3 linked regions of the Struthio camelus genome follow. The protein of the gene in region 3 interacts with the protein of the main gene of each other region in a biochemical or structural test. Links are inferred from orthologs where the notes say so. Each region holds a gene or a part of one and is shown on either strand. Other genes may lie near its edges.

Region 1 (9,160 bases), on a different chromosome or scaffold from region 3:
GTCTGCCTTCGTCACGCAGTGGGGTGCTGCTGTTCCTAAGATGCTGGAGCTGTATCCGGTACCACCCACACCTATTCCCAAGGGTCTCCAGAGCTCTTGTAAAACACAGCTTCCCAGTGAGCTAATGTCTGCTAAAGTATTTGGTTATTTTCCTAGCCAGAAAACTTTGCAGAAGCAGTATCAGAATTAGAAGCTTCCCGCAGCTATGTCAGGCAATGCTGTATTTCCTGACTGAGAAATCTGTGCTCCCAGAAGCTCTTAGTGCTGACAGTCACACCGGCATAGCTGCTTTACCACCAGGATTTGTTTCTGCTGAGGCGGGGAGGAGGAACTGGAAAACCCTGTTTTGTACAACCTTGTACATGGCTTTTGACTTCTCTCTGCCCAGCTGGCACACAGGTCTCCAGGGCCAGCAGGCGGTAGGATGACTGGCAGCAGAACACAACCCTTAAAGATTACAAACCGGTAAATGGGCCTTTTTCAGGAAGAGATAACCTCCTGCTAATAGAACAGGGTAATGGACTATTCATTGTGTGGTTTAATTATTAGAGTTCATTGTTAACTTATTGAATGCCTCCCTGCATTCCTGGCCTCTTCCCAGCAAGATGGAGGCTCAGAAATGCACATTTCAAAGTTGATTTTCCAGTTCGGTTCACAGTTCATATATCACCGGCAATAAAACTCTACCCTGCTGCTGCCCAGTCTGGGATTAGTGGAGGGGTTACACAGAGCATCTTCCGTTAGGATCAGTTGATAAAAACCACTAGAAGCGTTTGCAGATGAGCACAGAACAGGACGGGTTTGCAGTCTCCTTGTTTAACCACAGATGAGGAAGTTCAGAACTGACTCTATCAGTCACATAGTAAGAGCAAAAGTACCTGGCGCTCCTCATGTTTCCCGTGAATATCTATCATGTCTCCTAACACCTTGACTTTCAGCTCCTCAGGAGAGAAATGCTTCACATCAAGGTTAACAGAAAACTTGTCCTTCTCCAGTCGCATCTGCAAAATAAGGAGATGACTTCAGAGAAGAGCAGGTGAGGGTTTCAGCCTTAAAAGGTGCTCAGAATATAACAGTTCAAGACTTAAGCGGGTACCTCCACATGCCCTCACCTAAAAAGCTGAGAAGAAACAGCACTGTCCGATCTCCCTCATCCAGCCCTGGGGTTCTGACCCAGCTGGGTTTGTCTCTTTCTAGCCTGTTACACTAGTGCCCATCACTAAAGTGTGATGCCTTTCTTTCTCTTGATTACACGGCGTAAGTGTTTTCCTGGGGGTGGCGAAGAGACTCTCTCAACTTGAATTTGCTAAAAGGGACTCATTAGTTGGCCTGCAGGTTTTGTATCTGGTTCTTTTTACAGAATGTCTGCAGATTTCCAGTCCCTGTAGCTGGATTTTGCAAGGTCTTTAAAGAAGCCTGACCGTGCAGCTAGCTGACTGCGGCTCATCTGTGCCACTTGCAGGCTTTCCCCTCTATTGTCACTCTCTAGTAACCAAAATAATGTGTCACCAGCAAACACTGCCACCTCACTACCTGCCTCTCTTATCTGAGCAGCAAGATTTCTGATGAAACTGAGTCACCTGCTGCTAATCTTGCCTCCTTCTCCTTCATTTTATGCTTTATCACCTCTAGCAAATGCTGCTTTTTCTGGTTCCTCTGGTGAGGTTGCTTCACCTTTGTTTCCCATCACCTACCTCCGTGGCTTGGACAAGCTCCTGGGACTTTGCTATGTGAGCTGGCTATCTCTGCCTTCCTATTGCATTCGTGGTGAGGGAGCACGCAAGCCTCCCGGAGCTCTGCTCTGGGACGTGGAGGTAGCCTCCCTGCCAGCTCTACGCTTGCTGGTTTCTGCTTCCTTCTCCTCCTTCAAACGTATTTGTGACAGAGATTTCTCCACTGAGGCAGTGGGATGCTGTTTTCTATGGTGCTTGATATGGCTGCTTCTGGGGACAGCCAGTCCCCGTTTGCCAAATCAAGTGAAACATTATGGAAAGATTAAGAAATACTTTCCTCTCGCTCCTTTGGCTTAGAATAGCTCTGCAAGTTACTTGTAAATAGACAGCTGACTTGCAGACCAGGCAAGGCCCTTCGAGCTGCATGCCCCTTGGCTCAGCCCCCGCAGCACTGCCACTTTGAGCCAGAAGAGCTACTGGTGGGGCCGTGGCGCCTATAAGACCACGCGAGTCCAGTCGTATACAAGCATCTCGCCATCCCCACGGCATCCAGGGCTGCTAGGGATGCACAGCAGCCCGTTGTCTCCCTGCCCCAGGGCCACTGCAGCAGAGCTCCTGGCCGCACAGGTTGTGTATTAGTCCCCCAGCTCCGCCGCTGCTACGAGAGCTGCTGCTCTTCCTGCGCTGCTCCTGGCCGCGGGACCTGCTGTGAGCCGAGCGAGGGCTGGAGAGGTTCCCGTAGTGGGGACCAGCTCTGCCCAGAGGGAGGGCAGCCCTGGGCTTCCCAGGCTCTGCCAGCCACAGCGGACACTTGTCGGTGAGGTGCTGGGGTCTGGTGTAGCCAGCGCAGGGCAAAGCAATGCGGGAACCACCGGAGAGCTGGGAGCTGCGCGCCTTCCGCTCAGAGGCGACACGATGTCTGGGGAAAAAGTGGTTTGGAGATCGGATTTTCCTGGCTCTTCTCTGCAAAAGGTGCTGGGGCTCCGAGGGTGAGGGCAGGAGGAGAGGCGGCCGGCGGCAGGCATGCCTGCCCCGTCGTGCGCTGGGTCTCCCACAGCAGGCCGGCAGCGCCAGGGCTCAGCCATCCGCCTTTTAGGAGGAAGGCCGTGCAGGTTGGTTCCCCCTGCGAGTTACAGACAGGCAGGATTCGCTCCTGACGTCCGCCCAGGATCTCTGGCCTGTGCTGACACCTAGATGCGGCCTCCTCAGCTCAGCACAGATGTGCCCGGTGGTGATGTATCCCAGCAGCTGCTTGGGGATGCAGCACCACTCCGGCCTCCGAGGGAGAGCCACTCCTCGCTAGGTTTTCCTCTAGCCTCCCCGGAGCACTCTGGCCAGGATAAAAGTCGTCTTCACCCCTGGGATCACTACGAACATGCATGCAGGTCCAGAAACGCGAAGCAGCTCTCACTGCATTGGCAGAACAAGGGAGTGTGGGAGACAGACAGGGCTGGAGGGCTATTTCGTGGTCAGTTGGGTCCTGTGTATTTCTCAAAATGCTGCTCTGCTCAGCAGTGACACTCCAAAACGGACCCCTTTTTACCCACGAACCCCAGCCTCCCGTACGAGGATCCCACCGCTCCGGGGCTCCCTTCCCTTCTCAGGAGGGAGTGGGTTTGAAAGTTTCGCAGAGCAGACAGGGAATTTAGGTTTCGTCCTTTCTCCCCTCAACTCTTACAGTCATTTGCAGCACAGACTCAGCTCAGCCTGCCTGTGCCCAAGGCTATGGCAATGCTTGCTCGCAGTCAGGAACGGTTAGCAGAGCAGGCAGAGGCCCTTGCCCGCTGCGGAGAAGCGGAGACACAAGCACAGCACCTTTTCCCCCAGGCTTTTCCTAATAACCGCCTGCCAGCAGCTTCCCAGCTCTCAGCCATCACGGTCCCCAGCTCCAGAGACATCAGGATGTGCAGGCAGCAATAGCACAGAGCAGTAAGAAGGGAAGGTTACCTCAGAGAGCCCAGTCTCTATCCAGCTGGGCATCCGAAAGATGGGAGATCGCATCAGGAAGGTGCTGAGGCCGGGGGAGGTAGGGAGCAGCTCCGACTCCTGCAGATGCTCCCCAAAAGTCTGGTCGAAGATGCGACTCGGCGCCAACAAAGACAGGAGGGGCCGGCGGATCAGGGGGTTGTGGATGGTGATATCCATTGGAGCGTGCGGGAGGAGCGGGGCCGGCGACTGCTGCAACGCTCGGCGGGGAGCCGGGGCAGCTTTATAGCCGTGCGGCTGGCCTGGCTCCCCCCGCCGAGCCCGCGCAAACGGTGATGTCAGGGATTTTATTGTCCCACTCCTGGGCCGGTCCCTTCAGCTGTGCCCAGTAGCTGTCTGGGGGATTTGAACACGCTGCTGAGGAGGAGGGGGAAGGCGAGAAGAAGAAAAGGAGTCTGACGGGGCAGCAAGAAGCCAAACTGCCCCGCCGCCCGCCCTGCTCCCCCACGTGCTGTTTATCTGCAGAGTCCCAAGCCGGCTTGGCTGATGCTCCCAGCTGCTTCGGATGCCAGCAGGATCAATGCAGCTCCTATCTTTGGCTCACACGGAAAATGAAAAGGGGCTGTTGTTTCTGCTGCCAGCCTCGGGGCTCTGGCTCCCGGCATCACCCACGGGTCTGGGGAGAGCTCTGCCTCTCCTCCAGGCAAAGGAAGCCAGGGCTGGTTTAATGAGGGGGAAATCAGTAAAGACCCCAGGAGATCTGGTTGCCCCCAGCAGAGTGGCTCTCTGCAGCCCGGCACGCACAGGCGACGTGAGCCCCGCCGCCTTAGTGCAGGCCCGCTGGTCTGGGCGCAAACGAAAGATGCCTTCCTCCACAGTGCATCAAACTGCTTTGCCCACTGCAGAAATGAGTTCGCTGGAGAGAGCAGAAGAGCCTAATACTCGGTGAGCTCAGCCCTGGCGGTGCAGGAAGGGCTGCTGCCCGGTGACGTGCCCTCTCACGGAGGCAAGCTGCATGCTTGCCTGCCCCTGTCTGCTTGTGCTCCTGCAGTAAGCTCATTTCCTATAATTAATACTCCTAATATGCCCTAACTTTTTTGCCCATTTGCCTTAATTCCTGCTCGTGAACATGGGACAAGGTTCAGCCCTGGGGCTGTCCTTACAAGTCAAGAGCTAGTCCGTGCCTCTGAGAGCTTGCAACTCAAATACAGGTTACTGGCTCAGCGGCACATCCTTCTTGCTGCTAGCACCACTGGTCCCTTGCGCAGGGCTCTGGCCCTCTTCCTTTCAACTTGCCTGCTGGACTGGGGAGCGGCTTTCTCTCTGCGCAACAGCCCGGGCCGTAAATGCCTCCTCCAGTTCCACATTACATCAACGGCAGAGCACCCGCTCTCTCCTGCTGCGGGGACGTGGACTCAGGGCGATCTCTGGTTTCAGGGTATAAGGAGCTTAGTGAGGACTATCCCTCCCAGTTCAGTAAAACTGGACCTATGCCAAATTCAGCTCCCCAGTTAACTGAGGGTCCCTGCCTTGGGCATTTCTCCAGGTCTCATCACACAATGCCGAAGCCCAGGACCAGGTGGACCGCCATCTCCAGCAGCACCGTCTGGGTTGTGGAGGTGCTGGTAGAGGGATCTGGATCCCGTCTAGGCCAGCTTAACCTGGGCTAGTTTAACCTGCAGGACCTTAGCGCTCGCAGGAACAAAAGGCTCGTGCCTCCACGCGGCTCCTGGGAAAACCAAGCTCCTCTGTAGGGCATAGGATGGGTAGGCAGCGGTGCCCAGCATCCAGCCGGCTCTCCCCCGCTCCACGGCCTCCCCCAGCTCGCCCCCTCGCCACCCGGCCCCGCTCGGCGGCCCGCTTGCCTCCGCACGCCCTGCTCAAGGAGCAGATCCCAGGGGAGGCGCAGGATTTTCGCCAGGCACCCCCGCCTGCGGCAGTGCCTGGACTCCCCGCAGGAATGCAGCAAGGAGCTTCCCTCGTCACCCTGGCGAGGCGTCTCTGGGCCTGTGTGCGCGGCTATTTTGGTCCGTCTTTTTATCACACACTCCTCCCTGTGGAATTCACCCCATTAAAGCCTTGCAATCTGCAGCCTTCACTCTCAGCGGCAGCGAGCGCTCGCAAGGTCCCCGTCCCGGAGGCACCATGGCTGCACGGACCGTCCCCCACGCCTACCCCATGAGTTCGGAGTACGAGTTTGCCAGCCCCAGCAAGATCTACGACCAGAACTTCGGGGAAGGTAAGGAGGAAGCCGGCGTCTTCCCGGCACCTTTCCGTCCTCCGAGGCAGGAGAGCCGGCAGAGTCCCTCTGGAGGGATTCACCTCCAGAGCGGGCCAGCGAGGCTGGAGCCAAGGGAGCTGCGGAGCGCAGGAACCCAGGTCAGATCAGGGGGCACATCTGGAGAGTGCCTCTGCCGGTTCGCTTCCCTCCATCCCTGCCTCGTTCCTCTCCTCCCCTCCCTCACACCCCCACCTTGCTGGCCTTCGTGCGCATGCTGTGCAAACACGGAGCGAAACGCCCTGCTGCAACCCTTCTACATGTCGGGCTGCCGTCCCCCGGCAGCCCCCGGGTGCCTCGTGCCCCACGCTAACCCCAGCAGAAGGCCGTACGGTCACAAGGCTGCGCAGGACCTGCCTCCATGCTCTCCTTCGCTAATAAGGGATGGCTGAGCGGAGACCCCCCACCTGCCCACCTCCCTGCCCCAGCTGCTGTGAGCAGCCGCCGGGCAGAGCTCCTGAGCAGAAGGGCCACTGCCACAGTGCCAGGGGCAGGGATGAAAATTAGGCCCTTTTGGAAAGTGCTAGTGCAGGGAGGGGTTTTTGCAGCCGGGGGCAGTGGAGAAAAGCTGAGCTGGGGTGTTGAGCACAAAGCCCGGCAGCGGCTGGCAGCGGGGAAGGAATGTGGGCAGCAGCAGAACCATTCAGCACCCGCACAACAGCGTGAAAAGGCAAAAAGCCCCAAGAAAAGCCCCCCAGACAATGGCACACAAAAGGGCTTTAGTTCCTCGGCCCAATTTCTTCACCGTCAGCGTTTTCCGTGCCCAGCCCTGCGCCTGGCTCCGCAGAGCACCCAGCGCACCTACCAGTCCCTCCCTGCCCGGCCGGCAAACACCCGAGAGCTGGCCACCAGCCCTTGGCTGCCTGGCGGGAGGTGGTGGCCGGCCGGCGGCTGGCCCCAAGCATGTGCTTTGGAGACACAAAGGCAGGAACAGCTGGAGATTCGCTCCCTTTTGTGCAGCTGGTGCAGCTGCAAAACCAAGGAACCTGTTTGCCACATCCCAGCCTCCTCCTGTCCCCATCACATCTGCTGCCAACCATCCTCCTCCCACTCCTTCCCCTGGGAACCCCATGCTCCTCACTGGGTCTCACTTTCAGGTGTGTCCCCATGTGAGATTTTAGCTCCTGCCCTGTATCATGGCTACTACATCAGGCCTCGGATCAACAAGCAGCTGGATCGAGGCACCTCCGAGATCAGCCTCAACGACCACAAATTCCAGGTGTTCCTGGATGTCTGTCACTTCTTGCCGGATGAGCTCACTGTCCGCACCGTGGACAACCTGCTGGAGGTGATGGGGCAGCACCCGCAAAAGTCTGACCGTCACGGCTTCATCTCCCGAGAGTTCACCAGGACCTACATCCTCCCGCTGGATGTCGACCCCTTGCTGGTGAGAGCCACCTTGTCCCATGACGGCATCTTAAGTATTGTGGCTCCTCGGACCGGGAAGGAGGTGAAGGCCAGAGTCAACGAGGTGAAGATAACCCACCAGAAGCAGCCGGAGGGCAAGGAAGAACAGCCCAAGGAGGAACAGCCCAAGGAGGAACAGTCCAAGGAAGAGAAAGAGAAAGAAGAATCCTAAAAGTCCCAGAGCTGGGCTGGAGCAGGGGGTGGGGGGGATGTCTCAGTGCCAGACCCCTATTTCTCACCACCAGTGCTTAGCAGAGGCGTGAGACCGGAGAGGTGCCCGTGCCAGACTCCTGCTTCTGAAGGCTGCTGGTTGGAAAAAGGGGCTTGGAATTGAAAAAAGAGGGGAACTGAAATGTTAGTGTGGGGAACTGTCATGTAAGTTTTCTCCTAGGTCAAGTGCCCGCTGAGCACCGTGCAGGGTGGTGCTCTTTGCCCATCCCAGATCGCAAGGGTCACTCTTAGGCGAGACAGCCAGGCTGCATCGCTGCAGACTGAAACAGCTGCTGTGCTCCAGCCTGGAAGGAGCTGCTCTTCCAGGGTGCCGGGAAGAGGGAAGGGGTGCTCCCGGCACCTCACTCCCGGGCCGGCCGCCGACCGCTGCGGACAGTGCTGGAGATGGAAGGTGCGTGCCTCTCTGCAGAAGTGCCCACAGCTCTCAGGACGAAAGAGGAATAAATCTGACTCTGACCTTCTCTTCTTTGCCTCAGATTCATATTGCTTCTGGCCAAGTCACTGTGCAGTGGAGAGCATGGATGGCGCCTGAGCTGCTCCTGAGGCGCTGAGCGGAGCAGCGGGCAGCTCCCGCTGCGCGTGGCTGTCGAAATGGCACCAAGGGGGACTTGGAGGGCAGCCCAAGGGAGCCCTGCCATCGTCCCTGCCCGCTCCAGCACAGCCAGGGTCATTCACCCCTGCAGGGAGCCTGCGGCAGGCAGGAACCTCTGGGAGGAAAGGCTGAGGGCGACGGGCTCTTGGAGGCTCACTGTGCGTGTGCCGGCACCTGGCTGGCGCCCCGGCGCTCTCCGGGGAGTCGCAGAGCGGGTGAACGTGGCCCCCTTTGCAGGCGCCGTGATGCTCAGGGCGCATGAGGAACGTCTCCCCGGTCTTGCGCTACCCGGCCAGGGATGGCGTGCGCGACCGATGGCTGCAGCTGCCGCCCCGGCTGGCCCCGAGGCTCAGCCGGTGCCTGTCTCGATCCCCGTCAGTGCCAATCAAAGCAGCTAAAACGCTGTGTCACTGACCAAATATGGGGGGCCCTGGCACGCCGCAGCGCAGCCCTCCCATGGGGGAGAGAGCAGGCTCCCAGGCCGCGGCGGGGGCTCGGGGAGCATCGCTCTCGGCCCGCTGGGAGCTGCTCTGCTGGCCCTGAGCGCTGCCCCCGTGAAGAAACAGGGCCAGAAACGCCCCACGCAGGAGCCTGCCCCATGCAGCCTGCCTCCTGGCTTGCTCAAGCACCGGTATAAGGCTGCTCTTTCGCTCTCGCCAGGCAAGGCAGCACCCAGACCAGAGCGAACCGCTGTGCAGCTATTTTCTGCTCCTCGGGGCCCCTGCCAGCAATGAGGACTGAAGTGAAATTAAGAGCAGCCCTGAGGGCCTTGCCAGCCCCGGGAGAGAGGGAGCGGGAGGGCGGCAAAGCCTCCGTCCCACCCCGGTCTGTACCACTGAGGGATGCCACACCAGCTGCTGCCAGTGAGCGTTTCAGAAGATGCTGTCAAAAGGAAAACCACCTGTACAACAGGCTTTGTCTGGGTTGTTAATAATAATCTCAGCGATAATACTGGGCTCCTGACTTTCAACGACCTGAAGAGGCAGCTCGTAAGAGCAGGAATTGCTCCTGCCAGTGAGAGCCAGGCTGTCTCTCTCCTCAAACGCAAAACCA
Region 2 (9,710 bases), on a different chromosome or scaffold from region 3:
AGAGAATAAAATACGGGTCAGCTTTCTGCCGTGTCCCTAAATCACTGCCTGTTGCCAGCTGCGGGGTGGTCGGTACGTCTGCCCCGTGAGCCCCGTCCCAGACTTTTAATCCCGCGGCCGAGGCAGCCCCTGGGCTGGGAGCGGGAGCGGGAGCGGGAGCGGGAGGAAGGGCGCCAGCGAGGAGCCACAGATGGGAGATGGCCGGGCTCCTCGGGAGTGCCACCTCGTCCCGCCGGCCGCGGGGTCCCAGCAGGCGCTGGCAGGCTGGCCGCCGGCAGGCCCGCTGGCGCGCTTCCCGCTGGCCCTCCTGCCGGGGATTTGGCGAGTCCGGCAGCGTCCCCAGCTGCCGGTCCAGTGGCCGAAAATGTGCCGCTGGCACCGGGCTGCTTCCGGAGCCCCGCGCTTCAGCTAGATCGTAGGAGCAGGGGTCCAGGCATCGGGATTTTTTTTTTCTCTGCGTTTTTTTTCACTGCTCGGCAGCGTGCTCTCCAGCACGTCTTGGCGCTTCTCGAGGCTTGGTTTCCCGGGCTCAGCCCTGGAGAGGCTGCAAGCCCTCTGGTGCGAAGGCTGCCTCGGGTGGAACGCCGGCTCGCTGCGCGGGGCGAGAGGGAGCCGTGCAAACACCGGCCAACGAGCTGCTTTCTGGAAAGAACGTCTGCGTTTTGCCCTTGATTTTCCCCTTGCGTAAGAAACCCAAAAGGCAACTTTCTAAAGAAAGCCGATGAAGCTGTGTGGCTCTCAGCTGAAGAACTGGACGAGAAAGTGCGCCCGGTGGCTGCAGCCAGGTGCGCTGGGTGGAACACGCAGCCCGCGCAGGGGCGAAGGCGCTCGCCCTGCTCGCAGGCTTGCTCTGCACATGGCGTGCTTCTTGGCCGCTCCTGCGACTAGCAATTACTAACGCATACACAAACAAATACGGGGAAGTGCGTGTGTGTGCTTAAACCCCTAACATTATGTTATGGTTCTTTGTACGAAGAAACAATAGCCCCACAGTATAGTTTATTGCTATAATAACGGAAAGATACAATTTGTAAAACATAAAATTATCCACTCTAAACAAAGGCTCTGATTGAAAGAAAAATAAACTAAACAATCACACTGTAATTGGCTTAGATACCTTAATCACTGCCAATTATACAGTGGTTGCATACATTTTACATGGATTTAGGCAATATTTTCTCTCACTGGAATTAGTTAAAACATTATGTGACTCTTAATAAATTATTTTTCTGTAAATATGGCTTAGATTTCTTTGTGTTCTGATTCAACTGTTTAAGAAGGTACGTGATTAAACTAACTTAACACTTCATATTGGAATTAATTGTTAATGCTGAAATGTATTAAAAACACATTTCTTATTGTACCTATGCTTCATCAAAAGCAGCTGCAAAATATTTAGTATATATTTATAATGCATTTGCACACATATTTAACACAGCTAGTGATAGATGAAAATAATTATTTCCCAGGTTCAGTATGAGATGTGATATCTGAACCGTGTTCTTAGGGATAATTGCCTAAGAAATATTACTGCTAACTGTTTTGTTTATAAAACCACTTTCTGTTTGCTAAAGGGACTTTCTAAAAAGCTACATTTATGCTACGATATTCAAACAAATTCTAGCTACTGCAGGTTCTAAATATTCATGTTCTTAATTGAGCTCTGTCACTTCTGCAAGAACAATAGTTATTCTCTCATCTCTGTAGGTGTTTTCTTGAGGATAAACGCCTAGCAAAATCGGTTAAAAATCCTATCCACTAAAACTGAAGATGCAAGTTAATAAACAAAACCTGACAGTACGAATAGCACCATAATCAAAGTGATTTTGTTTCCAAAAACTTTTCTGAAAATACTTAGCTTGAAGAGCAAGTTTCACACTGTTTTGTCTAACTCTTCTTGTAAGATCAAACCGAGGAATCCCCAGCAGAAGCTTAGCTGTTCCTGAAACGCAGATAAAATGCACAAAGCAAAACAATACAGTGCGTCTCATCCTTTTTGAAAGTCTTAGTCTATTCATAACACTTCTTGGTATTGCCCACTACCAGCTCATTTTAATCAATTGCTGTACACTCATTCTGATAATTGCTTGTTAGCCATTTCACGCCACTGGCTTATTCATTATTTCCAGCAAAACATGACAGACCTCATTTTATGAATATGATTATTATGCATCATAGAATATGAATTTAATCTTAGTTTCAGTGTGGTTTAATTTCAAGTTTTATTTCATTCAGATGACACATTAGACTTTTCCTGTTTCAAATGTAGTTCATTATAAGTTGTTTTTCTTTTTCAGTGTTATTTTAAAAAAAACTAGAATTAAAAAATGCTAGGATCGAAAAAAGATTGAAAAACATAATTTCACAAAGCAGAAGAAAAACAGGAAAGGTGCTGATGTAGAAAGAGATTCCTTTTCTTCCTCTTTAGATGTGCGTTCCTAAAGTTTTGTTTTTCCAGTACAATAAATATTTCTTATAAATTATTTAGAAATAGCAACAGATGTTATTCTGACTTCATTTCATAACAGTAGTTATTGAACTTATTAAAACATTATTTTCTCAGATTAGATGTAAATTTCTAAAAATGAATGAAGGTATTTTCAGTAATAAAGGAAATACAGGATATAATAATTTCTGTATAGAAAAACTTCCATTCTTGATAGAAAATAACATGTATGTTCACCTACTCTAACTCAGAAATGTTAAATGTAGAGTGTTACTTTTTTGAAAACAAAACATCAAACATTTGTAAAAGATTGTTACAAAAAGAAAATGAATCTCTATTTAAAATATATTGTTTTGATGATATATACCGTTTTTAAAATGTATGTTATTTGAAACATCCTGACTTTCCACTTTAAAACAAAGGTAAAAGATTTTACATTTTCAAAAAATCCATCCAGTCTAGGTAAGTAATTTCATCCTCTACAACAAATTACTGGCAATACAATCCCTATTATTAGATTGTTTATATGAAATTGTGTTTTTAAATTTCTTCCTGAAATCACATAACTTTTAGATAAAGAAAACTTCATTTTAGAGGTTTGTATGGCTTCTTTGAACTCTGTACTTTGTGACACCTAGTAGTTAAATTGCCTGATCTTACTCATGGAGAGAAGGGAAAAAAGAGCCTCATCACTCTGAAAAATTCCCTGAAAAATTCTTAGTATCACATAAAGCCACATTAACCACGCGGCACTTTTGTGTTTTACACTCACTCAGTTTGATAGAATGAGCATTATAATCTCTCACGGCTTCACTCACTACTATTGACTGCACCTCACAGAAACGCAGATAAAACATTTCTAACTGACAGAACCATTACATATATTCCCCCGAAAAATATTTGGAAAGCATGAGATAAAAGGACGAGCTTATGAGGCACAGTGTTTATTAACAGAATGGTAACATTCGAATGCAAGGGTAAATTTCAGGGGATTGCCGAATTCTCTCTTCCATGTCCATCCTGAACATTAACTTGTATATTAACTTGTCCAAAAAACCCAGTGCACCTTCAGTCACTTTTCACAAACAGAGATCGAGTAGAGTCTGGCTGGAATTTAAAGATACCAGAGATCTTCAAGGGGAGACGGGTACCAAGGCTGTTGCTTGTCCTTCCTCAAAAGGGAACCTGAGGATGATTTGCTGGACTGAGCTTGTTACAGCTCCATAAATATTAGAAAGAAGAAGAAGGAAAAAAAGTCAAGCATGATACATTTAAGAAAGCTATAAATATTACAAGATAAGGAAACAGAGCAAGGTAATCTATGTACCTACGAATCTTGTAATGTGATATGACTTTTCGCATCTTTTAAAAGAAGGTTTGATCTCTGTGTTTCAGGCTTTGTTACTTTCATATTTAAAGGTTTGGAGGGTTGCCATTAATGTCAGCATTTTTATTTTTGATAAATCATATACTTTAGCAAGTTGTTGAGGAATTTCTGTGATTTTAAATAAAATATATTACATGCAGAAACTAAGCTCTTGCAATGTATGCATGGTCTTCAGCAAACATTCACACAACAGTGGCCTTTTCCTTGAAGGGGTCGCTGGCACCAGCTCCCTGTTTTCTCCAGGGGAGATCAGAGGTCTCTCTGCTCTGCTCTCAGCCAGTTCCCCCCGACCTCCGGGTGCTACTTCTAAACCTCTGCAAAAAAGGTAGGGCACATGGCATTGCTGGTGTCAGTTTTGAAGCCAGGACAACAAATTTTGTGTGATTTCATGTCAGCCGGGTAGAGCTGTGAATTCCCACAGAGGAAATACTGTACGTGCTTCTTTCTGACTTGAATTCTTCTAGCTGTATCTATTGTCTGTGTCGTTCTGAGCCATACAGCATCTGAGGCGAAGTCTTCAGCATATACCTTCTGAGCTATAAACCCTGGGAGTTACGCTACGTTTCCCACTGTCAGAGGGGACGGGTGTCTCCTCCCTCCCAGCTAAAGCACGGGCAGACTGGCTGGGGTGGCTCCTCTGCCACTACCGCTGGAGCCACCCCGAGGGCCAGGAAAGCATGTGCTGGAAGGTAGTGGCTGGGCAGGAGGGGAATTAGGCTCTCCAGATGTGGGTGCAGATCTGTTGGCATCTGTTACGTGATTTTTTTTTCTGTGGTGAATTGCACTGTTTGTCGGAATTGGCTCTGTACAACACGTTCTGCACGTCGGGGGAGCCGCTTGCAGCGCGCCCCCCCTCCTGCCGGGACGCAGCCCCCGGCCCCGGCCCTCTCTAGCTGCAAGCCCTTCGGGGCAAAGACTTTGCATGGGGTTTTTTTGTCTTCAGCAAAGAAGTTTCTTGCTGCTTCCCGAAAGCATTCACGGGTGCTTACTTCCTGCCAGGGCTCTGTGCTCTCTCTGAATGAAAAGCAGCAAAAGCCAGAAGAATCGGCGTTTATCAGGAAAAAGAAAAATATATTTATTTCCCAGGGGGGAAAAAAAAGGGGGGGTGGGGTGGGGGGGAAGAAGAGGTTATTTATTTCCCAGCGCCTCGCACACCGACCCAGCGCGCTAGGAGCGAGCCCGGCTCCTGGGCGCTGCCGCGGCGGGCGGAGCACGCGGCCGTGCAGCGCCGAGCACGGCGGGCCGGGCCGGGCCGGGCCGGGCCGGGCCGGGGCCCCGCGCCCCCCCGCGCCCCCCCGCGCCCCCCGGCGCGCCTCGGCCCGGGCCGTGCCTGGCCGCTGCGCTCGCGGCGACCCTTGCGGTATGCGGCTGCCTTTGGCAGAGGCACATGAAGGATTTCATTGAGTGTGAAGACAGAGAGCAGAGACAGAAAGCAGAAGGAGGCGGCTGCAGCCTTTGTAGTCGGGGAGGAATGCGGAAATGTTGAAGCACTATGTCAAACTTTTTTGAAACGGGGTCAAGTCACATTCAGCCAGCGTGGGAAAGCAAGGGAGGAAAAAAAAAAAAAAGTTGAGGAGAGGGAAAAAAAAAAAAAAAGGCAAGCTGCTGCTACTCCCAGACTGAACAGAGGCCGAGAGAGCGAGCGAGGCAGAGAGCGAGCGGAGCCGGCGGAGCGCCGAGCCGAGCCGAGCCGAGCCGAGCCGAGCCGAGCCGAGCCGAGCCGAGCGGCCGCGCCGAGGGCCGGTGCCCGACCCGCGGCGGCAGGCGGCGGCCGGCGGGCTGCGGGCGCGGCGGAGCCGCTCGCACGGGGCTCCCGGCCGCCCTTTTTATTCCGTTTTTTTTTCTTTTCTTTTTCTTTTTCTTTTTTTTTTCCTCTCCCCGGGCAGGGTGGGGGCGGGAGGAGCGGGCTGGAGTACGAGCGGCAGCTGCCTGCTGCGGGAAGGTGCAGCCGGCGGCGGCGGGAGGATGCGAGCCGAGGGCGGCCGAGCCGCGGAGCAGCTACCTGTGTGGCCCGGGCGGCCGCTGCCGCGACCTGCCGGAGAAATCGCCATGTGAAGGGGCCCGGCCGGCTCCACACCCCGCCTCGCTCAATGGGAGGTTTGTTTTAGGGAGGACTCACCCCCTCCCCCCCCACACCCCTCAACCCCCCCCACCCCCACCCCGCCCGGGGCTGAAAATTATTTGGAGATTTGGTGGCGGTGGAGGCAGCCGCGGCGCGCAGCAGGTAATGCGGGAGCGCCCATGTGCTCCGCGCACCCCCCCGCCCCCGCGGCCCACACACCGCCCGCCGCCGGGCCGGGGGCGCAGGCGGCGGCCCCCCGCGGGTGGCCGCTGCCCCGCGGCGCCGCTGCCGTGGGGGCGTCCCACGCCCCGCGCGTCGGCGGCCGCGGGGCGAGGAGCGGGGGGGGGGGAGAAGGGGCGGCTCTGCCCTCCCGCGGAGCCCTCGGGGGGTCCCTCCGCGTCCGACCCGCCGCGCCCGCAGGGGAAGCGTGGGGGCACCGCGGGTCCCAGCGCGCTTCCTCGCTGTGCCCCCCGCCGCGCCCCGGCGGAGAGCTGGGCGTGGGGGCACCGCGGGGGCGGCCGCAGCCCCCCCCCCCCCCGCCGCCGCCGCCGCCCTGCGCGCGGTAACTTTCCACAGGGCGCCGCGGCCGCGCCGGGCCCGGCTCGCCGCCCCCGCGGCCACGCACACGCGCGGCGCCGCTCCCGCCGCCGGGGGGCGCCCCCCGGCCCGGCCCGGCTCGGCTCGGCTCGGCTCGGCCCGGCGCCGCCCGCCACGCGCCCCCGCGGCGGCGGTGCGCGGAGCGGCGGCGGCGGCGGCGGCGGGCAGGTCGCGGGCAGGTGGCGGCGGCGGCGGGCCGGGGCGGCGGGGCGCGCACGTCGGCGGCGCGGCCGGAGGGCGCTGAGGCGAGGCGGCGCCTCGCTGCAGCTGGAGGTGCCGCTGGGGAAAACGGCCGCGCGGCGGGCACGGGAGCTTTCCTTCACGTTGCGCCTCTTCTTTGCATCGTCGGCTACGGCGTAAGGTCAGCGCACACTTTAAATTGCTGCTGGCTCTGTGCGTGGGCTCCCGCCTAGGGGATCGCCAGTGCAGTACCTGCGGGGCTGTTATCCTAGCGTGGTAAAAATACAGCGCCGGAGCGGCTCGCAGGCGCAGTAGCAGTATACGAAAAGGGGAGGGGGAGGATCGGTGTGGAGTTATGGGGGGGGAGAGGGTTTGCCCGCGATTCTGCGGAAAGCGGGGATGAAACTGGGTGCAGGAGCGACCTGTTTTGATCTCCAGTCTCACGCACTGCACGGCGGACCACGCTGATCCTGCAGACTGGCTTTCATCCTGTGCCCCATCACACAGCGTCCGGCAAGGGGCTGCCAGTCACACATCCAGGGATAGCCGTCGCCATGGCCAAAACTCTTGCATGATCTTAACTTTGCTAAAGTGTGCGTTTCGCAAAATACCTCAGCACCAAATACTCAGTAAAACATTATTATTATTATATGTTATATGTATATATATATATATGTGTGTGTGTGTTTACTCCCCACAGGCTCTTTGAGGCAGAAGCTTGTCTCGTGCAGTGTGTTCGTGCAGTGTCTAGCACATTGGAGAGTAGATCAAGGCTGAGACTTCCAAGTGCTATAAATAAGTAACTGTAATATAGTGTGGAATATGTTTCAAGGACTCCATCATGCAACACTGAAGAAACCTTTGAGTCCTGCAGTCCTGACATAAGGTCCTGGACATAACTTCCTACCACACACGCAGAGTTAGCTCTGTCATCCACGTCTCAGTGGATATTAGGCCCATTGCTCAGTAAAGTCCCGAGGAGTGCGGGTGTGTGTTGTGCAGACCATGGTAGCTACGTAGTGTTGTATCAAGCATGCCAAGATGTTGATATCTTGTCACCCTCGTGGTTCATGTCCTGCTCTTCCTTTGCCCCATTTTTGCTTTGCAGTTAGCTATCTTCTATATTGGCTTAATTTTCTCAGTTTTAAACCATGCAAAGTAGTGAGGTAAACTGAAAGCACGAGTTGCATGTGCCGCAGCAGGGGGAGGAAGGCCGGAGGGGAGAGAACCCCAGGCCTAACTCACTTTTCTTGCTTGCTTTGTGCTTCAGATCTCCTTGGCTTTGCGCAGACGATGCTCCCCAAGACTGCATGATAGTTCCTGGTGGCTGAGGCAGGAGGCACGTCGGGGCCTGTACAGAGGAAGGACGGGAGCCGGAGGGCAAGGACTTCCTACTGCTCCTCGAGCAGAGGTACCAACCGTGCGGCGTATCTGCGACGTGAGCAAAATACTAGTTTTCGGAAAGCGGGCGAGGGCGGGAGCCGCGCCTGAGGCACTCCAGGCGCAGGAGGAAGAGGAGCGGCGCCAGCATGGATAAGGACAGCACAAACCTGGCTGACCAGCAGTACGAATGTGTGGCTGAGATCGGTGAGGGAGCCTACGGGAAGGTGTTCAAGGCCCGAGACTTGAAGAACGGCGGCCGCTTTGTGGCGTTGAAGCGGGTGCGGGTGCAGACGAGCGAGGAGGGGATGCCGCTGTCCACCATCCGAGAGGTGGCGGTGCTGAGGCACCTGGAGACCTTTGAGCATCCCAACGTGGTCAGGTGAGGAACCGGGGCGAGCGCCCTGGTCAGCAGGGCCCTAGCTGTGGTACGTGCGTGAGAGTCTGGGTACCTGCGTGGAGCAGCCAGCAGGCTGGGCTCGTGGATGAAGCGAGCGGTAACCTGGAGCGCGGTCTGAGGTTTCAGCAGGCGGCGGTGCTGCCTGCCGGGCCTCCCCTCGTCCGTGCGCGCTGCCTCCCCCGCGCGCAAACACCCGTCTCCAGAGGCGTAGGTGTGTGACTGAAGCATGGGAGTGCACGGGCAAGGAGCCATGTGTGCGCTGTCTCCGCGGGCGTAACAGAACGAAAGAAAGCGGCAGCTCTCCCGGTCTCAGGTGCTAGTGCTGCCGGCCGCAGGTGACTCTCAGCAGCTCTCTTCGGGACCAGGACGGCAATGTTTGCCACAGTGCTGATGGCGAGGGCATGCCACCTTTTCAGATGATTTTATAGACGCATGTAGCTTGTCATGGTACACACAAGGGATAGGTTAAGAATTTATGCTTTGGGGAAGGTTTTACAGCTCAGTGCTGCTTCACTGTTACTGATTTCACCGAGTGCTCATGGCTGGGCTACCAAAAGCGAAGAAGAACAAAATGCAGGCCTTGCTTTCAAAATGGTGCCACTGGCACCAGGGGTAAACCCTGAGTAAATGACCCATCAGCGGCAGCACTGGCCCTGACGTAAGCTTGTACGTTTCCATGTAACTAGAAAAGTCGAGCATGTAGTCGCTGGCTGAGTGAAACGGTTTACTGGACTTTTCAGGTTGTGATGAAGGAAGCACAAAATATGGAGGGAGTTTCTTCTAAGGCTTTTTTTTCCTGGAACACGGTACGGAGGCATTTCCTACTGTATGATTTATCTGCTGCTGGCTTTGTGCTTCAGATTTACTGCATGGTCACACCTTAGATTGACCAAAAGTTTTAGAAGATGATTTTGGTGTAGATTTCACTCACAACCTCTAGCAGCCTGTGAGAGTCTTTCTGAATGCTATGAACTTTAACAAATAAGCTTCACTTTGCCGATTGCCAGGTACACAGTGGTTTGAAGCTGGTCTGCATCTAGCGGGTGATGCAGTATTAAGAAGAATACTTCCTGTTATTTATATTATTGTATGCACGCCTTTTATAGCAAAAGGAAAATATTTCATTCTTTACTAATACCAAGCCTCTTTCAGGCCTAGAGAAACAGAGATATTCTGATGCCAGAGGTGATTTTCAAACTGGCTTGTAGCTGTGATCCTCATGTGTGTTTAAGGTCTGAGATGAGGGTTTTTATAAGAG
Region 3 (9,793 bases):
AAACCCTACAGAACTGTACAGTCAGAACCAAAGTCAGCAAAGCAGAGCTGAGCACATGGTAGAACTTGGATAAATGAGACTGCATGTCGGAGGCTAGATTTTTGCTGAGTGATTGTAATCTGATGGGTACAAAATATTAAAACTAATGGAAACATTTGATTAAAAATATGATACATCTTTGCACACAGTATTATCACAAAGCCATCATAGACAGCCAGCCAAGCGCTTAGTTGTAGCACAAATGAACATGATATAAACACACAGGCCCCAGTCTTTCTCCTTCCACACAAAGCTCACAAGAAAGATACCTGGGTTCCTCAGACCTCTGTTGGCTCTAAACGTTTGCACTGAGAGGCCAAGGCTTGCTGGCACCGCTCTCAGAAACGCAGATGGTGCTACAAGCACCTTCTGCCTGAGCCCTGTGACCTCCAGGGAGCTGGTGCATCTCCAAGAAGCCCTTAACCTTCTGAAGGGGTCACCTGTCTTCTTGTCAGGTCCTCTGAACAACCTTTAATCTCTATGTTTTTTATTCTAGAACAATATCAGACGGTTTGCTAGAAGACCATGCCTTTTTCAGCAGTCTTCCTGATGTATCAGGAACTTCACAGAGGACTGAACAGGAGTGGCAACACCCTACTCTCGCTGTAGCTGGTTTCAGCGAGGCTGGGTGTTCACCAGGGATGCTGGAGTACCTACATGCTCTGCCTCCTACCTTTAAGGACAAGCACCTCAAAATACCCCATTTCTTTTTGCTTGCTTGCCAGCTGGATTCTGGTGACATATTCAATTTTTCTGTGCCCTTACTCTTTGTTATTGGTATGAGGATGAAGTAGCCCATAAGCAAAAGAAAGAAATGCATTCTAGTTAGCATAAAAACTGTTCCCCTTAATTCCTTCTCTAACAGTTTGTAGCCTGTGAAATCGAAAAGGCATTTCGTGTTTAGTACAGAAATTGACTTTGGTATATCTTCATTGATTTTTACTATCAACAGAGACTTTCTATTGCATTTTTATGAGAAGATGAATACTTTACGGAGTTGTTGCAGACGTAGCAGTTAGTCTCAAGGGGTACCAGCTACATTTTTTTTGACTCCACAGTGAGCCATTTCAAGGATGTAAACCAAAAGACGACTAATTACTTCAGCAACAGCTAGTGTCTAGATTAGTTTAGGTTTAATTTCAAACTGTGCCCTTAGGCTTCAGTTCAGCAATGTATTTAAACATATGTTTATCTGTTAAGCATATGAGTAATTCCAGTGTACTTACATATTTAAATTTAAGCATCAGTTTAAGTCTGTTCCTGAATTAGCTTCTAAATCATTTGCAATCTAGCCTTGTCTCCAGTGAAAATCATTACGTTACATCCCTGGATTGCTCCAGAAACAGGAAAAAATACTCTGTGTACTTCTTGAGCAAGTTCTCTTGTTTTTACACTAACTTTTTGTTGGGGTTCAGCTTCTGTAAGCAGCTCCAGCCCCAGCCTGAATGCGAAGCTGAATCTGGGATTTGAAGAAATACTTTGGTTTTGGTCAAAATACGCTCAAACTCTACATAGATTTTAGAGAGGAGAGATAAGGTGGGGGCATGGCTTTATCACGTGTTTCAAGTAAATATGTGCCCTTCCCCTTTTCCAGATCCTCCCCTTCCCATCAGAATATTCCCTAGGAAACTTCCTGCCCTTTTCAAGACATGTTGCAATTAGCACTCATACCATGATACACATGCACTGGACACAAGCTTGAGCCTGGCAGAGATTCTGTGTGTATTTTGGGTTGGACATAAATATTAAGGGTTTATCTCAGTTTTCCCTCAGGTCAGATTCGGGTACTATACTGTTTTCCAGTTGAGAATCACTGCCAGATAGTCTCATGTAACTTCACTGAATCTAGCCATACTTCCTAGCCTGATGCAGTGAGGACTAAGGAATCCCATGTCAGTATCCTCTGAATTTTTTTAGCTTTATGAAAAAGACCTCCCTGCCGTGGTCAAGTAGATGGATGTTTTAGACAAGCTGACTGAACCTGACAGTTTTCTGAATGACAGCAGGTGGTGACAGATGAAGCACTGACTTACACAAAGCCACTTAAGTCATGAGCTGGGAATCAAACAATTATAAAGGGAATTTAGAATGGAGAGACATCCTATTTTTGATTTTGATTGTTCTTTTAAAGGGGACACCAATGCTGCGACACTTGTACAAACGCTTACGTTCTTCCTAGGCTAAGTTAATGTTAAGGCCGTACAACATTTCATACTTTGGAAACAAAACATCTCTGATGCAGCTGTTAATGAAAATTGACATTCATATTTTATTTCGAGCTTTTACTTTAATCCCACTGAAATGTAATACACGTGCAGAAAGATGATTCCTCTTTTTTCCCCCCATGAACAAATATCCACAGTTTAAGGTTGTAAAACTGAGCAATTTAGTAATGATGTAAACACAAATGAAAATTAGCCAACAAAAGAAATTCAATGGAGTTAAATAGGAGGCTATTATCATACCTTACATTCCCTTCTGTCACTAGCTGTAGCACCATGGAGAATCAGTAAGGTAAGAACTAACCATAGGGAACAAAGCAATTACCTGCTAATATGGTGCAGTAGTCCAAACACAGCAAAAATAAATTATAAATATGAATGCTACACAAAGATATAACTAAAGGTTTATGCATTTCCAAAGATATATGCTATTCCATACTAATTTTTAATCAAATTGAGTTGCACCACAAGCAAGTAAAAAAAATAACAGTTAGCACAAGCAGATCAAATTAAATGTAAATATTTCTGAAGTCTACACCAAGACTATAATCTCATCTTTCAAGGTATTCGGTTCTTCACTTCCTTTACCGAGTTAGGGAAGCAAGTAGACTAGATTCCCCAAGGCTCGTCACCCTCTATTATTATTTATATTTTTGCCCATTTACTCTAACTGCCACAGATTCAAAATGGTAGCATTCTAGAGCCACTCTGCACTCATTTGGCACACGCATAAAAGTGCACACACAAAAGGCAAAAGGTAGTAGGAATCCCAGGCAATATAAGTTTATTTGATTGTAGTCATTAGTGCTATACATTACAGGTTCAATCCTGCTCCCTTTGATGTTGATGGTAATACTCCCATTGAATTCATGTGCTCTGAAAAATGCCTGAGTTTTGCAAATTTATCATTTTGTCATCTATGCTTCAGGTCAAAATTATAATCTAGTGTTTTAGACTTGATTCTGAGCCAAATGATTTTTACTACAGGTTCAAAGAATGCAAACTTGTCCTTCAGAGAAGTGCCAATCCACTTTACGACGACGAGTAGGATGTTTGAGGCTGAGGGATCCAAGGGATACAAACATCCTGCAGGTGACTATAACCATCCTGAGCTTCCAGGGTCTCACTGCAGCAAACAGCAAGGATGTCACTCTTGCGGGGTGCATTGTGGCTGTCTCCTTAGAAAGGGTTTGGAAAGTTAGGATACCAGATACAGGATACCAGAAGCTAAAGAGACTTTCCAGCATTCTTAGTGTTATGGAACTGCATCTCTCTCAGTGAAATACCTTAAGTCAAGTCCTCAGTCATTCATGTTATCCAGTCCGCCACTTCTAAGTGAAGTAGCTTTCTTTCTTTTCTCATCCTCACTTTATGGCAGCCTCTGGTAGAGAACACTACATGGCAAGAGATGTTATGTAGTGAGAGATAAGTTCTTCTTCTGACTGCAGGCATTCAACCACTTTTAACACAAGTATTCAAGAGGCTCTGAAACTAGACAGGTGAGCGTCCCAAAAATGGGACTACGCTTTTCCCGAAGTCAACAGGAAAGAAAAGAGAATATGGAAAATATTAAATGGATGTCAGATTTAGGACATGTAGGATGTAGGACTTGTTGGACTTGTAGGACTTGTAGGACCCTCCTCTACTTCTTGTTTTACAGTGCCAGTGAAAAGAGGGGTGAAAAATACTAATACCGTGCTTCAAAAATTACTACAAGTCAGATGTCAGATGTAGGACTTGGATTTTGAAAGGATATCTCTCCTTCCCTGCCAAGGTTAAAAGCACAAGGAACCAGAACCTCACCAGAGGACTGGTAACCTGCCGCAGGCTGTGAAGGAATTAAAGAAGGTGAGAAGATTACAGGAAGCTGCAGGCCTGATCTCCAGAACTGACCCTTAGCACTGCCACTGACTTCAGCTGGAGTTAGGAAGTGTTCAGCGGTCCACGAAATCTGGCCCTGAAGAGATTATTTGCACTGGTTTTACTCAAAGAGCGTGTTGCAAAGATGCCACAAGCAGATTTACCATTTCCAGGCAGGTCTGGAAAGAGCAGATAGGGCAGCAGACTGAAGCAAAGAAATATGGCATGTGGCTGGTTGGGCTAAGTTCTCAGCTCTGGAAGAACTGGAGAATGGCTGGTAGAGTTGGTGAGAAAAAACATTGCACGTCTCATGTGTTTTTACACCAGAGAGCCCAAGGAGAATCTTTTATCATCATGTCTTCATTCTACATAGAAAAGCGCATATAGACATCTGTTGATCTCTGCAGCTAATTTTCTCTGGAGCCAACACATTTAACACATTTAAACAGGAGGCAAATCTGTCTTGATGGAGCTATTCTACCAATTTATCCTATCTGATACTCTGGCTCACAATTACTAATGCATCAATGTGGCATTTCTGGCAGAGGGAGACAAACGTAAGAAGAAGGTACTTAAGACATTCCTAAAATAACTTTTCTGCGGTGTATGTGATACATACTCCATGCTGATTTATTGGCACTTATCAGGAATTATATAAGGTAGCCTGCAAAATTTGATTAGGGCCTCGCCACTAACGAGTAATGCAGCCTAGCTGTCACACCAGAAGAATATTTGTTCCCCTCCCAACACATCATTACGTTAGCAGTCTACACTGTTACAGCGACCAAACTGCTATTCACCTCCGTGGGAGCAGCACTGAACCTATAATCATGCCAAAATACCCTCCTCTACTTCTTGTTTTACAGTACCAGTGAAAAGAGGGGTGAAAAATACTAATACCGTGCTTCAAAAATTACTATCGCTACCCAGTTCCACAACAAAATTCTGATGGGATTTATAATACGCCTTTAAACTGCCTTGCAATATTACAAAGAGGAGCTGTCAATTTGGGGAAGAGAGAAAATGTTTTTCTCCTGATTTGTAAACTGGGTTTCCACGCTCTGCCTGGCTAACCCGTGTTTTCACAGCTCACCAACCCGCCTCGGACACCGACACGTGCGCTGGTCGCTTCCATGCTGTTAGGTTGTCAAAGTGCACTGTCAGCTGAGGACTTTCGGTAAAAAGTTCACTGCAAAAGAGAAGCAAGAACTGTAGCGGCTCTTCTTTAACTCAATGGTGATGGAAGAAAAGGATTTCCACTACAGCGTCTTTGCTCTGAGAATTTTAGTGTGTAAATACGTTTGTCTTATTCACTTCGACGCCGTCACCCAGGCTCCCTTTCTTGCCCGTCCTTCCGGCCGGTCCTTCCATTTTTGGCATGGCAAAACCATAACGAGAAAAGAACAGCCCTCTTCCCGCTCCTCTTCCTTCCCCTCATTAATTTCACCTTCGTCCCTTTTCTCCGCTTACCTCCGTGGTCAGGCTAAACTCGGCCTAACTCCCAGCACCGGCTGCCCAGCCCGGCCCCGGGCCCAGCCCCGACCCTTCCTCCCCCGCCGCCCCCGGCCTCGGGGCAACGATCTGCCCAACGGGCCTCTGTCAGCGCCGGGACCGCAGCTCGCTGCCGGCCTCCGGCGCCCACCCGTGCGCGCGGCCCCTGGCGCCCCCGCAGACACACGGCGCAGGGGCGGCGGGGCCGCGGCACTTCAGTGCCTCCCGCCGCAGCAGGCACCGCTGCTCCCCCCCCGGCCCGGGCGGGCCCGGCCGCGCCGCCCCGGCGCTCGCTCGGGCCGGTTTGAGGCGCGCGGCCGGCGGCGCGCCTCTTCGGGAGCTTACGGTAGGCGGCGGCGGCGGTGGCGGCGGCGGCGGCGCGCCGGCCCCGCCCGCGCCGCCCCGGCGGGGCGGGGCGGGCTCGCGCCGGCGGCGGGCGGCGGCGGCGGCGGCACGGCCCCAACGGCGGGCGGCGGCGGGGCTCGGCCGCCCCCGCCCCGCGGCGGGCGGGGTGACATCATGAGAAAGTGCCGGGGGAGGCGGGCAGGAAGCGCCGTCGGAAGCGGGGCCGGCGGCGGGGCGCAGCGGAGCCTCGGGCCGCCGCGGCCCGCCCGTTAAGCACGCCTCGCCGCGAGGCCGAGGGCCGCGCCTCCTCCCCCTCTCTGCCCCCCCCCCCCCGCCCCGCGGCCGTTAGAACCGTTACGGGGCCGTTTCCGGGGAGCCGCCAAGCGGAGCAGATTCGAGGCCGCGTGTGAGGGGAAGCGGCTGAGCCGGAGGGAGGGGAAGGCGCCGGCCGTTACGGGGCCTGGCCGGAGCCCCGGGGCGGCGGTGCCGGTGCCCGGGCCGGCTCCGCAAAGGCGGGCGGGGGGCCGGGGGGAGGACCTCGGCGGGGCGCGCGTGTTGCGGCGCCCTTGCACTTTTGACCAGTCCCCTTTGTGTGGCCGGGAGGGATCGGCCGCGCCGCTCGCCGAGATCTGCCTGATCCGCCTGGTAACAGATCTCCTCCCCCATTGGCTCATGCTAATGGGCGCTTCCTGCGGCCGCGCCGCCCGCGCAGCGCCGGGGGCTCCCCCGGGATCGGGGCCAGCGCCGCCGCCACCGGCACCTCTCGCCCGGCCACCCCCAGCCCCTCCGCGGCGTTTCACGAACGGAAGCCCCCACGTTGCCGGCCTCGTGGAGAAAGGAGAAAAAATGGGGGGGGGAGGTGGAAAAACCCACCCAAGCCGCAGAGGCGGCGGCAGGGCGAGGGCGCCGGAGGCGGGTGATCCTGGGCCTGGGCTGAAGGGCTTTGAGCAAAGTGACCAGAAACAAATGTTTGGAGACAAAAGTGCAGACATGACACTGGCTCCTGGGGGAGGGAAGGGGTTCGGGCCGTGCCTCGCTCCACAAAGCGCTTGGCCTGTAAAATGCCAGGCAGGCCGCACACCAACTGCCCCCTAGGAAGGTGCTGGCGGGCACGGAAGTTAATTAAATGTGATGCCCGAGTTGCCCATCGTTGGCTGGCTGAATTCAACCGGATCTGGCAGTGCGGGGTCATTGTGTGTTTTTTTAGTAAAAATCAAAACTTCCCCAGCCAGCCTAAGTCATGAAAACAGAAGTGAGCTCCCTGCGTGTGCAGCATGATAGACAAGCACGGGGACACGCTTAGGGGACTGCTTCCTTGCTGAGAAACCATCCAGATTCACCCCACAGACTGCAGTGCGCAAGGGGAACTGAGATCCTGGGGCCTCTGCCATATCCTCCTAACAGAGGAAGACAAAATAGGGACAAGTGGTCAAGCAAACTGGAAAGATGGACAGATATTTCATGCAAAGGGGTTACGTAAGCACGCAACTGTGCAACAACATGCCCTGTGATCTTTGGCACTGCTTTCCCCATAGGTCATACAGGAGAGATGCTGTATGGCTTTGTAGCGTGTCGGTTACGGCCGCGAGCCCCCTCCAGTGCTTTGAAACCTGCTGGCGATGCTTCCCTAAATGCTGTTAAGGGGTAGGTACTAGTGCTGTTAATGCTGCGCTAACGTGGTGGTAAACACTGAGGTTGGAGTTAATTTGAGCACTCAGGTGAGCAGAAGAGGAGCTGAACCCTAGTTTATGGCGTTCTCACTTCTCCCTGTCCCATCCACTTCGGTCCAAGACAAGCTGTTTCGCCCTTGGAGCCGTGGGTTGCCTTCACCTCTGCTATTTTCCAGCAGGCCCCAAGCTCCCGTCAGCCTGTTAGAAAGCGGGGAGTTGAATGGAGACTTTTTATTAGAAACAGAGCAAAACACCAAAACATTTTCACATACAAGCGGTTCAGTTGAGCTGGGGGAGCAGGAGTTATTTACGGTGGGGCCGAGCGGTTGCGCGTCACGCGTGGACAGACCGTCCTCGCGGCACAGCGCGTGCAGTGAGGCCCTGGCAGCTCTGGTGGCTGCTGGCACCTCCCCCGTGTAGGTGCTAGCTGTGCAGGAGGAAACTCCGGCCACCATTTTGCAGCTCTGCTGAGATATTTTTTCTGGGTGGCTGTGTGCAGTGGGGGTGGGGTGCTGAGTTTTGGCCTGCCGAGGGTTAACTGCTGCTTTCCGCCCTTGGAATTAGCTATCACCATGTCCCCTGCCACCGCTGAGCCGCTTTTGGAGGGTAAATACTTAAAAGTGAAAGGAAAGACATAAAGAGAGGAAGAAAAAACACCATCTTGGTGGTGGTGGTGGTGGGGGGGGGACCCTAATTTCTTTAAAATTCTCATGTGCAGCAAAAACACGCAGGCTGGGAAAAACAGGAATGAGGAAATGGGAAAAAGCTTCTCCCATGGGATTAACTACAAAGACTCTGGGACTTCAGGTCAGGAGCGCGCTGTTTTAAACAGCAGATATTCCAGGTACACATCGGTAGTAATAATAACTGGTAATTAATAGTGGCACACTGGTACTTCTCTGCCCCCCCTCCCTGGCGCCCCCAGTAAAATAATACCAACTAAGTCTCCTTGTATTTTTATCCATGTGTGTCTGTGTGTGGCCTAGCCCCATTCATCATTTGGCTCCCACTGCAGAACTCTCTCCATTTTAAAAATTATGCATGATACACTGAAGAGACAATTTGGGTTTCCCCCACCTCTCCCTTGCCCTTGAAGAAAGCAAGCCCTTGTCTCATTTGCATTTGCATTAAAACCCTGCTCTCTATAAGCTAAGCAAAGGGGAAGGACTTGAAGCCTATGGGATGGCTTTAGGGCTCTGCCCCTTGCTTTTGGCTCTCTCTCTCTCTTTCTCATTCTCTCTCGTGCTTTGATCTCTGCTTAACAACAGTAACGTCACAGCGACTATACAGGAGAGTTTTGTTGGAAGTTAGAAAGTTTTGCAGCCTCCAGAGGGCTGTAGCGGCAGTAGCAGCAGCAGCATCCAAGGGACTCCTGGAAGGGGAAGAGAGAGAGCGAGCGAGCGCCCGCCCGCCCGCCCGCCTGCCGCAGTCCTTGCGCGAGCTGCCCGGAGCCCCGGAGGCAGCCATGGAGCACCAGCTGCTGTGCTGCGAGGTGGAGACCATCCGGCGGGCCTACCTGGATGCCAACCTCCTCAATGACAGGGTGCTGCAGACCATGCTCAAGGCCGAGGAGACCTGCTCGCCCTCCGTCTCCTACTTCAAGTGCGTGCAGAAAGAAATCTTGCCCTATATGAGGAAAATGGTTGCCACTTGGATGTTGGAGGTTTGTATGTTTCGGCGATTTCTTTGCAAACTGAACTGAATTCAGGCTGCGGGCTGCTCCCCCCTCTGCTGCCGCTCGCGGCCCCCCCCTCCCGAAATAACTTCCCCCGCACGGCACACGTTGCTCTGGCTTCGGCGGCTCCCGCGTGTAACGTCGGGATTGGGGTCGATTTTATCATTATTACTGTAATTATTACTCTCTTATTTCTGCTGTAACGAGCTGCTGCTCTAGAGGGAAGGCTCAGGGCACCCCCCCACCCCCGCGCACGCACACACACACAGACACACAGACACACGCACACACACAGACACGCACCGCTCCCGAAGCGCAGGGTCTGGGGGTGCCCTGGCACCTTTTCCGGCTTTCGGACCAACGCGGTGCTAGTGCAAGGGGAGCGTGGAGAAACCTCGTTTGGAAAATGTCCCCCTTTCAGCCTCCCTGCCTGGGCGCCTTGGCTGGGAACGGCCACATCGCTGGAGCCCCCGGCTCCCCAGTCCGGGGCC

What was found.
Region 1: of the proteins of CCND1 (region 3) and CRYAB, one has a biochemical effect on the other in vitro, tested with the Homo sapiens proteins (2 studies listed by BioGRID, with this or other methods). The link is inferred for Struthio camelus from reciprocal best matches to the Homo sapiens genes CCND1 and CRYAB.
Region 2: the proteins of CCND1 (region 3) and CDK6 form a complex in vitro, tested with the Homo sapiens proteins (3 studies listed by BioGRID and IntAct, with this or other methods). The link is inferred for Struthio camelus from reciprocal best matches to the Homo sapiens genes CCND1 and CDK6.

What each region holds. Positions count from the first base shown.
Region 1 is NC_090963.1:2,722,816-2,731,975, reverse strand, and holds the start of CRYAB (alpha-crystallin B chain), read right to left. Parts: upstream 4,041-9,160; 5' UTR 3,819-4,040; coding exon 3,621-3,818; intron 1,002-3,620; coding exon 879-1,001; intron 1-878. Other genes in the region: HSPB2 (heat shock protein beta-2), read left to right, coding at 5,745-5,838, 6,975-7,456. UniProt on the Homo sapiens protein: May contribute to the transparency and refractive index of the lens. Has chaperone-like activity, preventing aggregation of various proteins under a wide range of stress conditions.
Region 2 is NC_090943.1:27,482,692-27,492,401, reverse strand, and holds the start of CDK6 (cyclin-dependent kinase 6), read left to right. Parts: upstream 1-5,570; 5' UTR 5,571-5,930; intron 5,931-5,942; exon of another isoform or gene 5,943-6,057; intron 6,058-6,700; exon of another isoform or gene 6,701-6,853; intron 6,854-7,110; exon of another isoform or gene 7,111-7,265; intron 7,266-7,372; exon of another isoform or gene 7,373-7,558; intron 7,559-7,942; 5' UTR 7,943-8,201; coding exon 8,202-8,434; intron 8,435-9,710. UniProt on the Homo sapiens protein: Serine/threonine-protein kinase involved in the control of the cell cycle and differentiation; promotes G1/S transition. Phosphorylates pRB/RB1 and NPM1.
Region 3 is NC_090946.1:32,621,971-32,631,763, forward strand, and holds the start of CCND1 (G1/S-specific cyclin-D1), read left to right. Parts: upstream 1-5,838; 5' UTR 5,839-5,958; exon of another isoform or gene 5,959-6,016; intron 6,017-6,185; exon of another isoform or gene 6,186-6,363; intron 6,364-6,580; exon of another isoform or gene 6,581-7,492; 5' UTR 7,493-7,588; coding exon 7,589-7,601; exon of another isoform or gene 7,602-8,471; intron 8,472-8,895; coding exon 8,896-9,290; intron 9,291-9,793. UniProt on the Homo sapiens protein: Regulatory component of the cyclin D1-CDK4 (DC) complex that phosphorylates and inhibits members of the retinoblastoma (RB) protein family including RB1 and regulates the cell-cycle during G(1)/S transition.